2 linked regions of the Callithrix jacchus genome follow. The protein of the gene in region 1 purifies or fractionates together with the protein of each later gene. This does not show direct contact. Links are inferred from orthologs where the notes say so. Each region holds a gene or a part of one and is shown on either strand. Other genes may lie near its edges.

Region 1 (5,747 bases):
TCAAAGTGGGTGTGGGCTTTGTCTAGCACCAAGCACAAGGCCAGGCACAGGAAAGGGACTCGGTAAATATTTGCTGAATAAATACACAAGAGAAATGCACATAGAGGCATACGGGGCAGGCAGAACACTCGACCCACCCCACAGGGAAGGGAAGGAGTGGCAGAGATGGGACAAGTAACTTCCAGACACGCAGCTGGCTGACTCCCAGGCCCTCCACAGCTGCGGTGGCCTGGAGCCGTGACCACACGTCCTGATTCCTCCTCCATCTTCACCTCCAAACCCTGTTGAAGAATGAGGTCAGAAGGGGTGGATCCTTAAAAACTTAAAAGAAGATACATCAAAGGGCCAAGTGCGGCTGGGCACAGTGACTTGTGGCTATAATCACAGGACTCTGGGAGGCTGAGGTGGGAGGATCACTTGAGCCAGTGAGGTTGAGGCTGCAGTGATTGTGCCACTGCACTCCAGCCTGGACGACAGAGTGAGATCTCAGCTCAAAAAATGAAAATAAAAAAAAAGTTGGCAGAGCACAGTGGCTCACACCTGCAATTCCAACACTTTGGGAGGCTGAGGTCAGGGGTTCAAGACTAGCCTGGCCAACATGGTGAAACCCCATCTCTACTGAAAATACAAAAATTATCCAGGTGTGGTGGCACGTGCCTGTAATCTCAGCTACTTGGGAGGCTGAGGCAGGAGAATCGCTCTCAGGGAGGTGGAGGTTGCAGTGAGCCGAGATTGTGCCACTGCACTTCAGCCTGGGCAACAGAGCGAGACTGTCTCAGAAAATAAATAAAATGAAATAGAAAAAGAAAAAAGTGCCAAGTGTGATGGGAGCGGCCCCATCACCTGGCTCAGGGAAGATCACAAGAAAATTCAGAAAAGAGAATTCCTTTCTCTGCGCTTTCTTGGAACACCTGGAGTCTGGTTCTCAGGTTTAGACCCATGAGGACTAAATCCAGTGGCTCCTAATTCCAGAAGCTTTCCAGGACTGCCCTCCCCGGCTGCTAACCCAGGTCACTCCTAGTCCTACCCTGACCACAGGGAACTGGAAGTGTGTATCCCATGAGGCCTTGTCCATTCTTTTTGTTTTCCCCTGAGACGGAGTTTCACTCTTGTTGCCCAGGCTGGAGTGCAGTGGCACAATCTAGGCTCACTGCAACCTCCACCTCCTGGGTTTAAGTGATTCTCCTACCTCAGTCTCCCAAGTAGCTGGGATTACAAGCATGTAATCCCACCACTCCAGGCTAATTTTGTATTTTTAGTAGAGACGGGGTGTCTCCATGTTGGCCGACCTCAGGTGATCCACCCACCTCGGCATCCCAAAGTGCTAGGATTACAGGCATGAGCCACTCCACCTGGCCCGCCTCGTCCATTCTTGGCCACTCCTCCAGGAAACGCCTGGATAGCCAGGACTTGGGGACTCTGGATGTTCAGAAGGTGGGGACGGGCTGAATGAATGAGTTCTAACTTTGCCCACGCACCGTTCTACACAGTGGGAATAATAGAGGGAAGAAAAATGAAGATCCTGCTTCCATAAAACTTGTCACAGGATGGACCCTTCCAACTCTGCCCTCGGGGACACAGCAGGAGGGGCCGGCTCCCTTCTCTGAATTGTTGCACTTGAAACCGCCTTCGCAACAACTGTACCTGAGGAAATTATGACAGCAAAAAGAGATCAGACCTAAGCAACTCCATCTTGCTTGTAACCTTTAAGCTGTCCTTGCTCTTTCCTGGGCATAGGCCGAACTAACCTTGGGAAGAAATTCAGTCTATAGTTTGACTCTGAGACAAGATTGGTAATAGCTTTTTCCAGAAAACACCCTCTTCTTACCTGGGGACCAGTCAGCCTTTGGAGGACTGACAAGCTGCAAGATTAGAAATTATCGTTTAGGGGTCACGAAGCCTCTGGCTCAAGAGTCTGAACCTCCCCAAATTGCTCCTGGGGATAACATCACTATTATAAAAATCTAAGATCAGTGCTTGAGATATTTTTGCAGACCCTGTACTAGGTGGATCCGCTGACACCACCCAGACGAGTAATGTGGCTCAACCAGTCCCGCAATCCCACCCACGGACAGAATCCCACCCAGGAACAGAAGACAGCAAGAAAATCTCACTTCGACCTCCTCAGGACTCCATCTCCAACCTCAGGAAGCTCCAGCCAATCAGCACCCCCCACTTCCTGAGCCCCTACCGACCAAATCATCTTAAAAACTCGGATCCCCTAGGCTGGGTACAGTGGCTCACCCTGTAATCCCAGAACTTTCAGGAGGCTGAGGTGGGTGGATCACCTGAGTTCAGGAGTTCCAGACCAGCCTGGCCAACATGGTGAAACCCTGTCTCTACTAAAAATACAAAAAAATTGGTCGGACATGGTGTGGTTGACGCCTGTAATCCCAGCTACTCAGGAGGCTGAGGCAGGAGAAAAGCTTGAACTCGGGAGGCAGAGGTTGCAGTGAGCCAAGATTGTGCCACTGCACTCCAGCCTGGGCAACAAGAGTGAAACTCCAGTCTCCTGCAGAGCTGGCTCTGTGTGAATTGCTTTCTCCATTGCAATTCCCCTGTCTTGATAAATCGGCTCTGTCTAGGAAGCAGGCTAAGTGAACCCACTGGGTGGTTACACACTGACCCCAGGATTTAGGGAGCATCTCTTACTAATCCTCAGCTCTGATGCAGCCACCCCTGTGGGTCCCTCCTGGTTACTAAATCTCCCACTGTCTCACAGAGTCTGGAAGTCACATCCCCAACAAAGGCCTAGATTTCTCTCCCTGAAAAAAGAAGCGCCAGATGCTGATGGGCCAGGAAATTCCCAGCTCCGACTTCGTTTTCCGATCTGCACATTGAGGACACGGGCACTTTCTGGCCCAGATCCAGAACTTCCATAATCACAAACATCTGGCCCTGCAGAGACCTGGGCCTCAGTTTTTCCTTCTGTGTATTGGGAGGATGCACTTTATCCACTCCTGCTCAAAATGCCCCCTTCCCCTGGAATGACATGCTATGTGACCCAAGGAGAAAGACCACACCCCAGCACCAGGCCCGATTTTCAGACAGAAAACAACAGGCCTAGGACGCTGTGCTGCGAGCATTTTATGCATCTTGCAAGCTCTGAAATTCCTAAAGCTAAGTTTCACAACTCAGACTGGCCCCCTACTTCCCAGCACTCTAATTTTCAATCTGGGAGGTCTGACCGGGCCCGAAGCGTTCGGGGCCCCTTCCCTGCCCAAAAACTTGCATTTGGCGGGCCCCCACCTTTTTTGACCTCAGTTTCCCCACCTGAGGGGAAAAAATGGGAAAAACTAAGTAAAGCGAGCCCGCTGTACTACGGATACAAGCCCGTGCAACCCTAAATCTCAGACACAGACGTCCTAGAGCCATCTGCAGTCTCCAGCCTCAGTTTCCCAGCCTCGTGCCGGGAGACGGAACGCGAGGCTCTGACTCTACGTTCACCCCGCGCCAACCCAACCGTCAGCGCCCGCCCGGAGGGCTCCCAACGCCTGCGGCTCCCGCCTCCCGATGAGACCCCGCCGTTGCCCTGCCCTCACCATGGTGCCGGCGGGGACCGGGCTCGCCGGCCACTTCCGCCACCGCCGCTGCACACGCTCCCGGCGGTCGTCGCAGCGCCGCGCGCCACTAGGCTGAAAGAAAGTGGCAGACACGCGAGCCAGTCAGCACTGGGCTCGAAGGGCGGCCAACCAATCCACGCGGAACACGGCGGGGCCCTCTGGGCGAAAGGGGCGGGCGGGCCGCGTTCCCGCCGGAGGAACGAGGAATAGAGCCGTAAAGTGTCGCGACTTGTAATGCAAAAGGGGGCGGAGCAACGCGCCCAGGCGCGGGGTGTTTTGTGGGTAAGCGCATGCGCAGGTGAAGCCGTCGGTCTCGGGCTCCACGCTGTGGGCAAAGCCAGTTAATGCCTTTCGTTTGCAGTCTTAGAGACAGCGAGGTCTCGTGGTGATTGGGACGTCCCTCAGGTCGCCCTTCGGACTCCTAGTTTTCTAATTCTGTAATTATCCAGGAACATCATTTAGTGGGTTGGAATCCTGACCACGCCCCTCGGAGCCTCAGTTTGCTGTAAAATGGGTTATAATAGTAGTGTCTGCTCCAAAAGGTTGCTTGCTGTGAGGATGAAATGAGTGAAACTATGTAAAAAGCACTTAAAACAGCGCCTGGCGATCGGGCGCGATGGCTCACGCCTGTAATCCCAGCACTTTGGGAGACCGAGGCGGGTGGATCACGAGGTCAAGAGATCGAGACCATCCTGGTCAACAAGGTGAAACCCCGTCTCTACTGAAAATACAAAAAAAATTAGCTGGGCATGGTGGCGCGTGCCTGTAATCTCAACTACTTGGGAGGCTGAGGCAGGAGAATTGCCTGAACCCAGGAGACGGAGGTTGCCGTGAGCCGAGATCGGCCATTGCACTCCAGCCTGGGTAACAAGAGCGAAACTCCGTCTCAAAAAAAACAAAAAACAAAAAAATAAAATTAGCCGGCAGTGGTGTAATCCCAGAATCGCTTGAACCCAGGAGGCAAAGGATCACGCCATTGTACTCCAGCCTGAACCCAGGAGGCAAAGGATCACGCCATTGTACTCCAGCCTGAGCAACTAGCGAAACTCTGTCTCAAAACAAACAAAAACAGGTCTGGCGCATATTAAGTACTTAACAATATACTTTGTGCCTGCTTCTGCTCACAGAAATGAACAAAACACAAAATTCGTGGCTCTCAGGGAGACAGTAAACAAAGTAAATAGGCAAATGCTGTTGTTTCCTGGGGCTGTAACAAACGCCTGCAAACTGAGAGGTTTAAAACAACAGAACGTGATTTTCTCACAGTTCAGGAGACCAGATTCTGAACTGAGGCTGTCAGTGGAGCTGGCTCGCTCCGGAGGCTCTGTGTGTCCTGTGCCTCTTCCTGGGTTCTGCTGGCTGCTGCCAGTCCTTGGAGTTCCTTGACTTATACATGGAGTCTTCTGCTTTCTGTCTGCCCCTGTCTTCACTTGGCCTTCTCTGTGTCTCTCAGGCTCAAATGTTTCTCTCTTTTCTTTTTTTGGGACAGACAGGGTCTCCATATGTTTGTTCAAGCTAGTCTCAGACTCCTGGGGTCAGGCCATCCTCCCTCCTCTCTGCTTCCCAAAATGCTGGGATTACAGGTCTGAGCCACTGAGCCCAGCCGCTCCTTTTTCTTTTTCTTTCTTTTTTTTTTTTTTGAGACAGAGTTTTGCTCTTGTTACCCAGGCTGGACTGCAATGGCGTGATCTTGGCTCACCGCAACCTCCTCCTCCTGGGTTCAAGCCATTCTGTCTCAGCCTCCCGAGTAGCTGGGATTATAGGCATGCTACGCCAGCCCGGCTAATTTTTTGTATATTCAGTAGAGACGGGGTTTCTCCATGTTGGCCAGGCTGGTCTCAAACTCCCAATCTCAGGCGATCCGCCTGCCTCAGCCTCCCAAAGTGCTGGTATTACAGGCATGAATCACCACACCCGGCCTAGCCATTCCTTTTTCTTACAAGCACACTCCTTTCTCTTATTAAGCTCACCCTAAATTCAGGATAATGCCATCTCAGGATCCTTAATTACATCTGCAAAGATCCTATCCTTTTTTTTTTTTTGAGATGGAGTCATTCTGTCACCCAGGCTGCAGTGCAGTGGCACGATCCTGGCCCACTGCAACCCCTGTCTTCCAGTTTCAAGGGATTCTCCTGCCTCAGCCACCCGAGTAGCTAGGATTACAGGCACATGCCACAATGCCCA
Region 2 (5,018 bases), on another chromosome or scaffold:
TCTCCTTCCGTGGTGACCCTAAAAGAAGTGGTCACAGATCAGATGTTCTTAAACAGACAATTGTTTGACACTTACATCATCCTCACTCCGAGATGTCACAACAGCATCAATCATTTTTCGGGGATTATTCACACTAGAAACAGTAAGCTTTCCCAAAGAGCCCTCAAATTGTACTGCAAAGACAAAAAAAAAAATTTCCAACAAAATAAAAAGTCAGCAATGCAGACAGGCAGTGTTCAAAGATCTTTACTTTCCTCTGTCCTTTATTCATAATCTAATAATTTACAACAAAAATCAATGTATTATTTAGGCCAGGTGTGGTGATTCACACCTGTTATCCCAGCACTTTGGGAGGCAGAAGCAGGTGGATCACTTGAGGCCAGGAATCTGAGACCAGCCTGGCCAACATGGCAAAACCCCATCTCTACTAAAAATACAAAAATTAGCTGGATATGGTGGCACACACCTGTAATCCCAGCTACTCAGGAGGGTGATACATGAGGATCGTTTGAGCCTGGGAGGCAGAGGTTACAGCTAGCTGAGATTGCGCCAATACACTCCTGCCAGGGTGACAGAGTAAGAATCTTTTCTCAAAAACAGAAAAGAAAAAAAAAAAAAAAGACAAAAGCAACCCCTTATTAAAATCTATCCTTTCTTGCTCTTTTTTTGTTGCTTCAATAATTATCACAATAAAAATCTAAAGTATTTCCCTGTTACTTCTTTTAGGGGTACTGAAAATTAGAATACATTTAAAAAATCATGAAATCTCAAGTAGAAAAGGACCTAAAAGGGCACATGTCAAATCATTCATTCCAGGCTTGAATAAAGGCTGACTTTTGTATTTATTAAGGACAACAGTACTTTTAAAAACACTTTGAAACATCTTTATACATCCTTCCACTTATACAAATATCTGTATTTAATCATATCAGCAGCTTCTTAAATTTCTTTTATTATGGGCATTTTTCCTATGAGGACCTTACCTGGCTTATAGGCGTGCTCCAGTTTGGCCACCTGAGGGGTGATAAGCTTGGTGCGCTCCTTTTTAGGGCCATCACCTTGTATTTCTTCAGCAGCTGACAGTTTCTCCAGTTTTTCAAAGTAATTCTACCATGAGAAGATGATTTCAGATGTAACACAAGCATAGAACATGACTGTTCTTTACCATTAAATAATTTATACCAGTGACAGTAACACAAGTTCAACTCTAGAAATATACTGATCTCTAATTTTGTTAGATTGCTACAAATTTACTTTAGCCCAAAAAAACAAAAACAAAAACCCAGCCTTCAAGTTAGTTAACACCAATGGAAATTTCTTTAGACTGCCAATATTCTTAATTGAAAAAACAGGCTGGGTGAGACTCAAGCATCTAATCCCAGCCCTTTGGGAGTCTGAGACAAAACGATCACTTGAGGCCAGAAGTTTGAGACCAGCCCTGGCAACATGGTGAGACCCTGTCTCTACAAAAAATAAAAAAATTGAGCTGGGCATGGTGGCTCACAACTGTAATTCTAGTACTTTGAGGCCGAGGTGGGAGGATCACTTTAACCCAGGAGTTCAAGACCAGCTCGGGCAACATAGTGAGACATCATGTCTACAAAACCCAAAAACAATAGCTGGGGTATGATGGTGCGGGCCTCCCCAGCCCTTTGGGGAGGCTGACGCGGGAGGGTCACAGGGAGTTCAGGAGGTTGAGGCTGCAGTATGGCACTTCAACCTGGGTGACAGAGGAAGACCCTATCTAAAAACAAAAATAAAAATAAAATAATTAGTGTGGTGGTACACACCCATAGTCCTAACTACTCAGGAGGCTGAGGTGGAAAACTGTTTGAGCCCATGTTGGCCAGGCTGGTCTTGAACTCCTGACCTCAAGTCATCTGCCGAAATGGGCCTCCCAAACAAGAGTTCGAGGCTGCGGTGAGTTAAACTGGACCACTGCACTCCAGCCTGGCAACAGAGATCCTGTCGCAATCCCACCCCTAACCAAAAACACATATTATTGATGCCAAAAGGGATTTGAAAATATTAGTCTGAGAGCCTCTATATATAAGTAAAAGGCATATAAGTAAACTGTAGTGAATAGCGCAAGAGACTAAGTACCTCAAAAGAAAATTTTACAAATATTTAATTGTACCAATATTTAAATGAGTATCCTTACTAGTGTAAGGGACCAAACTATTATCCACAAAACTAGCACAGAGTATTTACCTGGTAATAAAAATCATCCAGGTAGGGATCAGTGCTTTGCAGTTGCATCATCTGGATTTTAGAGACCCAATCCTTTTCCCTCTGCAACATGAGATTGGCGTATGGATCCTTTCGGAGATGATCTTGATGACTGCTCCGGTGACTTCCTCTATCTCCTGCACCATTGAGATTCCGATGCTGACTGAAAAACATACACCATATTCACTCCAAGTGGGCAAATTAATTACGATTTTTAACAACAGATGAATAAACCAGGTCACTTTCTTTTTTTTTTGAAAAAAAAAAAAAAAAAAGATTCCCTGGGCAGGCACGGTGGCTCACACCTGTAATCCCAGCACTTTGGGAGGCCAAGTTGGGCAGATCACTTGAGGTCAGGAGTTTGAGACCAGCCTGGCCAACATGGTGAAACCCTGTCTCTACTAAAAATACAAAAATTAGCCGGGCACCCACCTGTAATCAGGAGGCAGAGGTTGCAGTGAGCCGAGACTATACCACTGCACTCCAGCCTGAGCAACAAGAGCAAGGCTCCAAAAAAAAAAAAAGATTCCCCTTTGCTTTTCTTAAAGGGGGAGTGAAAAAGAACCAAGTCTTAATAGAATTTAAGAGGAAAGAGCTACGTAATAAATAATCAAGAAATAAATCTAAGATCTGAGTATCTTACCATATGCTAAGATACTTTTATAAGCCCTAGAATAACTCTGTGAGGTAGGGAGTCTTCTCTTCCTTACTTAAGACAACAGACAGATGCCAAGAGAGCTCAAATAACTTGTCCAAAGCCATACAGCTAGTGGGGGACTAAGGGATTTTAACACAGGCTGATTTGGCTCTGAAGTCTACATAAATTTTTTTAACTCATTGAAAATCATTAAATATTTCAAATGCAGACAAAAAGCCCAGAAAATACTAAAATAAATATCCATTTACCCATCACCTAGACCTAATAGAAAAAAAATGTATCTGGTCAAATTCGTTTCAAATATTTTAAAGTAATATTAAAATAACACAGTGTTACATTAATAGTTAGATTCCTGTTGTGCCCTTCCAGACCCAGTTTTCAGCTTCTCTTCCCTCATAGAGGAACTACTATTATGCCCTTGGTAGGTATCCTCCATGAAATGTTTTTATAATTTTATTACTTGTGTATCTGTCTTTAAATATTACACAGTATTATTCTGTATCCCTTTTAGTTTTACATAAATGGTACGTGTAATTCTGATCCTTGCTTCTTTACTCAATATTAAGCTTTTCATATTTATACATGTGGATAATATATACAGGTTTATGGATATGAAGCAAACTTAATAAAAAAAAAACCTAAATAGCATGTTGCTATACTGTCAAAATTAAAAGCTGAATTAAGAAGCCATAAAGGAGTTGGACAAGCACTTACTTTCTATTCTGTTGCTGTCTCTGATGCAAGAGTCGACGGTGCTGTGGATGAAGGTGAGTTGTGTCCGGTCTAAACATTGGGGCCTGAGATCTAAGAAAAACGTAAAAGAGGTTCTCAGTTTTGTCATCCCGATGATTTGAAATTTTAAAGAATGTGTCAGTACAGGATAACTTCATACAGGTTAACTTAAGGGACTACAAAAGTCTATTTGGGCCAGTTGCGGTGGCTCACGTCTGTAATCCCAGCACTCTGAGAGGCCAAGGCAGGTGGAATACTTGAGGTCAGGAGTTTGAGACCAGCCTGGCCAACATGGTGAAACCACATCTCTACTAAAAATACAAAAATTAGCTGGGCATGGTAGCAGCTGCCTGTAGTCCCAGCTACTTGGGAGGCTGAGGCAGTAGAATCACTTGAGCCTGAGAGGCAGAGGTTTGTAGTGAGCTGAGATTGCTTGCATCACTGTACTCCAGCCTGGGAGACAGAGAGAGACTCTGTCTCAAAAAAAAAAAAAAACAAAGTCTATTCTAAGGAGACCTTTTAGAAGCAAAAGATAGTCCTATTTTTACATATCTTCCACAAAGACCAAATTCTAAAAGGATGATCATGAAATCTGAGTGAATTAGCAGTAAAGCAGAATTTTTTTTTTTTTTTTTTTTGCTTGTAACTGTTTAACAGAAGTCTAAGTAGATTTAATGTACTCAGCTTCAACTATGTGGGAATGTCATTAAAGATACATGTGCGATAGTTAATATTGCATGTCAACTTGGCTAGGCCTTAATACCCAGTTATTTGGTCAAACACTGTTTAGATGTTGCTGTGAGGGTATTTTGTATAGATGTGTTTAACATTTATAATCAGTTTACCTTACAAAAGAGATTACCCCTAATAATGTGGGTGGACCTCATCTAGTCAGTTGAAGGCCAAAGAACAAAACTAAAGTTTCCCAGAAGAAGGAAGTCTGCCTCAGGACTAGAACACAGAAGTCCTGCTTGAGTGTCTTGACTGCTGACCTGCCGTACTTATTTCAAACTCAAGACTGCAACTTGAGCTTTTACCTTTTTCTTGCCTGCTGGTCTGTCCTATGGATTTCGAACTTGTCAGCCTCTACAATCACATGAGCCAATTTCTTAAAATAAAACCTGCTCACATGAACATTTTTGCTGTCTTTCTTCTACTGGTTCTCGTGTTTCTCTTGAAAAATCCTGACTGCTACAATACGATATGTAATAAAATAGAACTTCACTGAAACAGGAACTTGAACCCCTGTTGTTATAAAATCAGAGGATAAAAGCAAACAACTTAGCTAGTGTGAAAATTATCTGACTTTTTAGCATCTATCTCTCGGTTCTATACCCTCTGATAATGTTAGGAAAATCTGATTCACAAGAAAGCCGAGAGATTGTCAAACATTTCCGTG

The links. Proteins that work in one complex are often made in the same cells at the same time.
Region 2: the proteins of LSM4 (region 1) and PATL1 purify together in Homo sapiens (co-immunoprecipitation; 4 studies listed by BioGRID and IntAct, with this or other methods). This does not show direct contact. The link is inferred for Callithrix jacchus from reciprocal best matches to the Homo sapiens genes LSM4 and PATL1.

The regions. Positions count from the first base shown.
Region 1 is NC_133523.1:17,038,027-17,043,773, forward strand, and holds the start of LSM4 (U6 snRNA-associated Sm-like protein LSm4), read right to left. Parts: upstream 3,608-5,747; 5' UTR 3,546-3,607; coding exon 3,543-3,545; intron 1-3,542. UniProt on the Homo sapiens protein: Plays a role in pre-mRNA splicing as component of the U4/U6-U5 tri-snRNP complex that is involved in spliceosome assembly, and as component of the precatalytic spliceosome (spliceosome B complex).
Region 2 is NC_133511.1:116,971,084-116,976,101, forward strand, and holds part of PATL1 (protein PAT1 homolog 1), read right to left. Parts: intron 3,692-5,018; coding exon 3,602-3,691; intron 2,393-3,601; coding exon 2,212-2,392; intron 1,108-2,211; coding exon 984-1,107; intron 174-983; coding exon 76-173; intron 1-75. UniProt on the Homo sapiens protein: RNA-binding protein involved in deadenylation-dependent decapping of mRNAs, leading to the degradation of mRNAs. Acts as a scaffold protein that connects deadenylation and decapping machinery.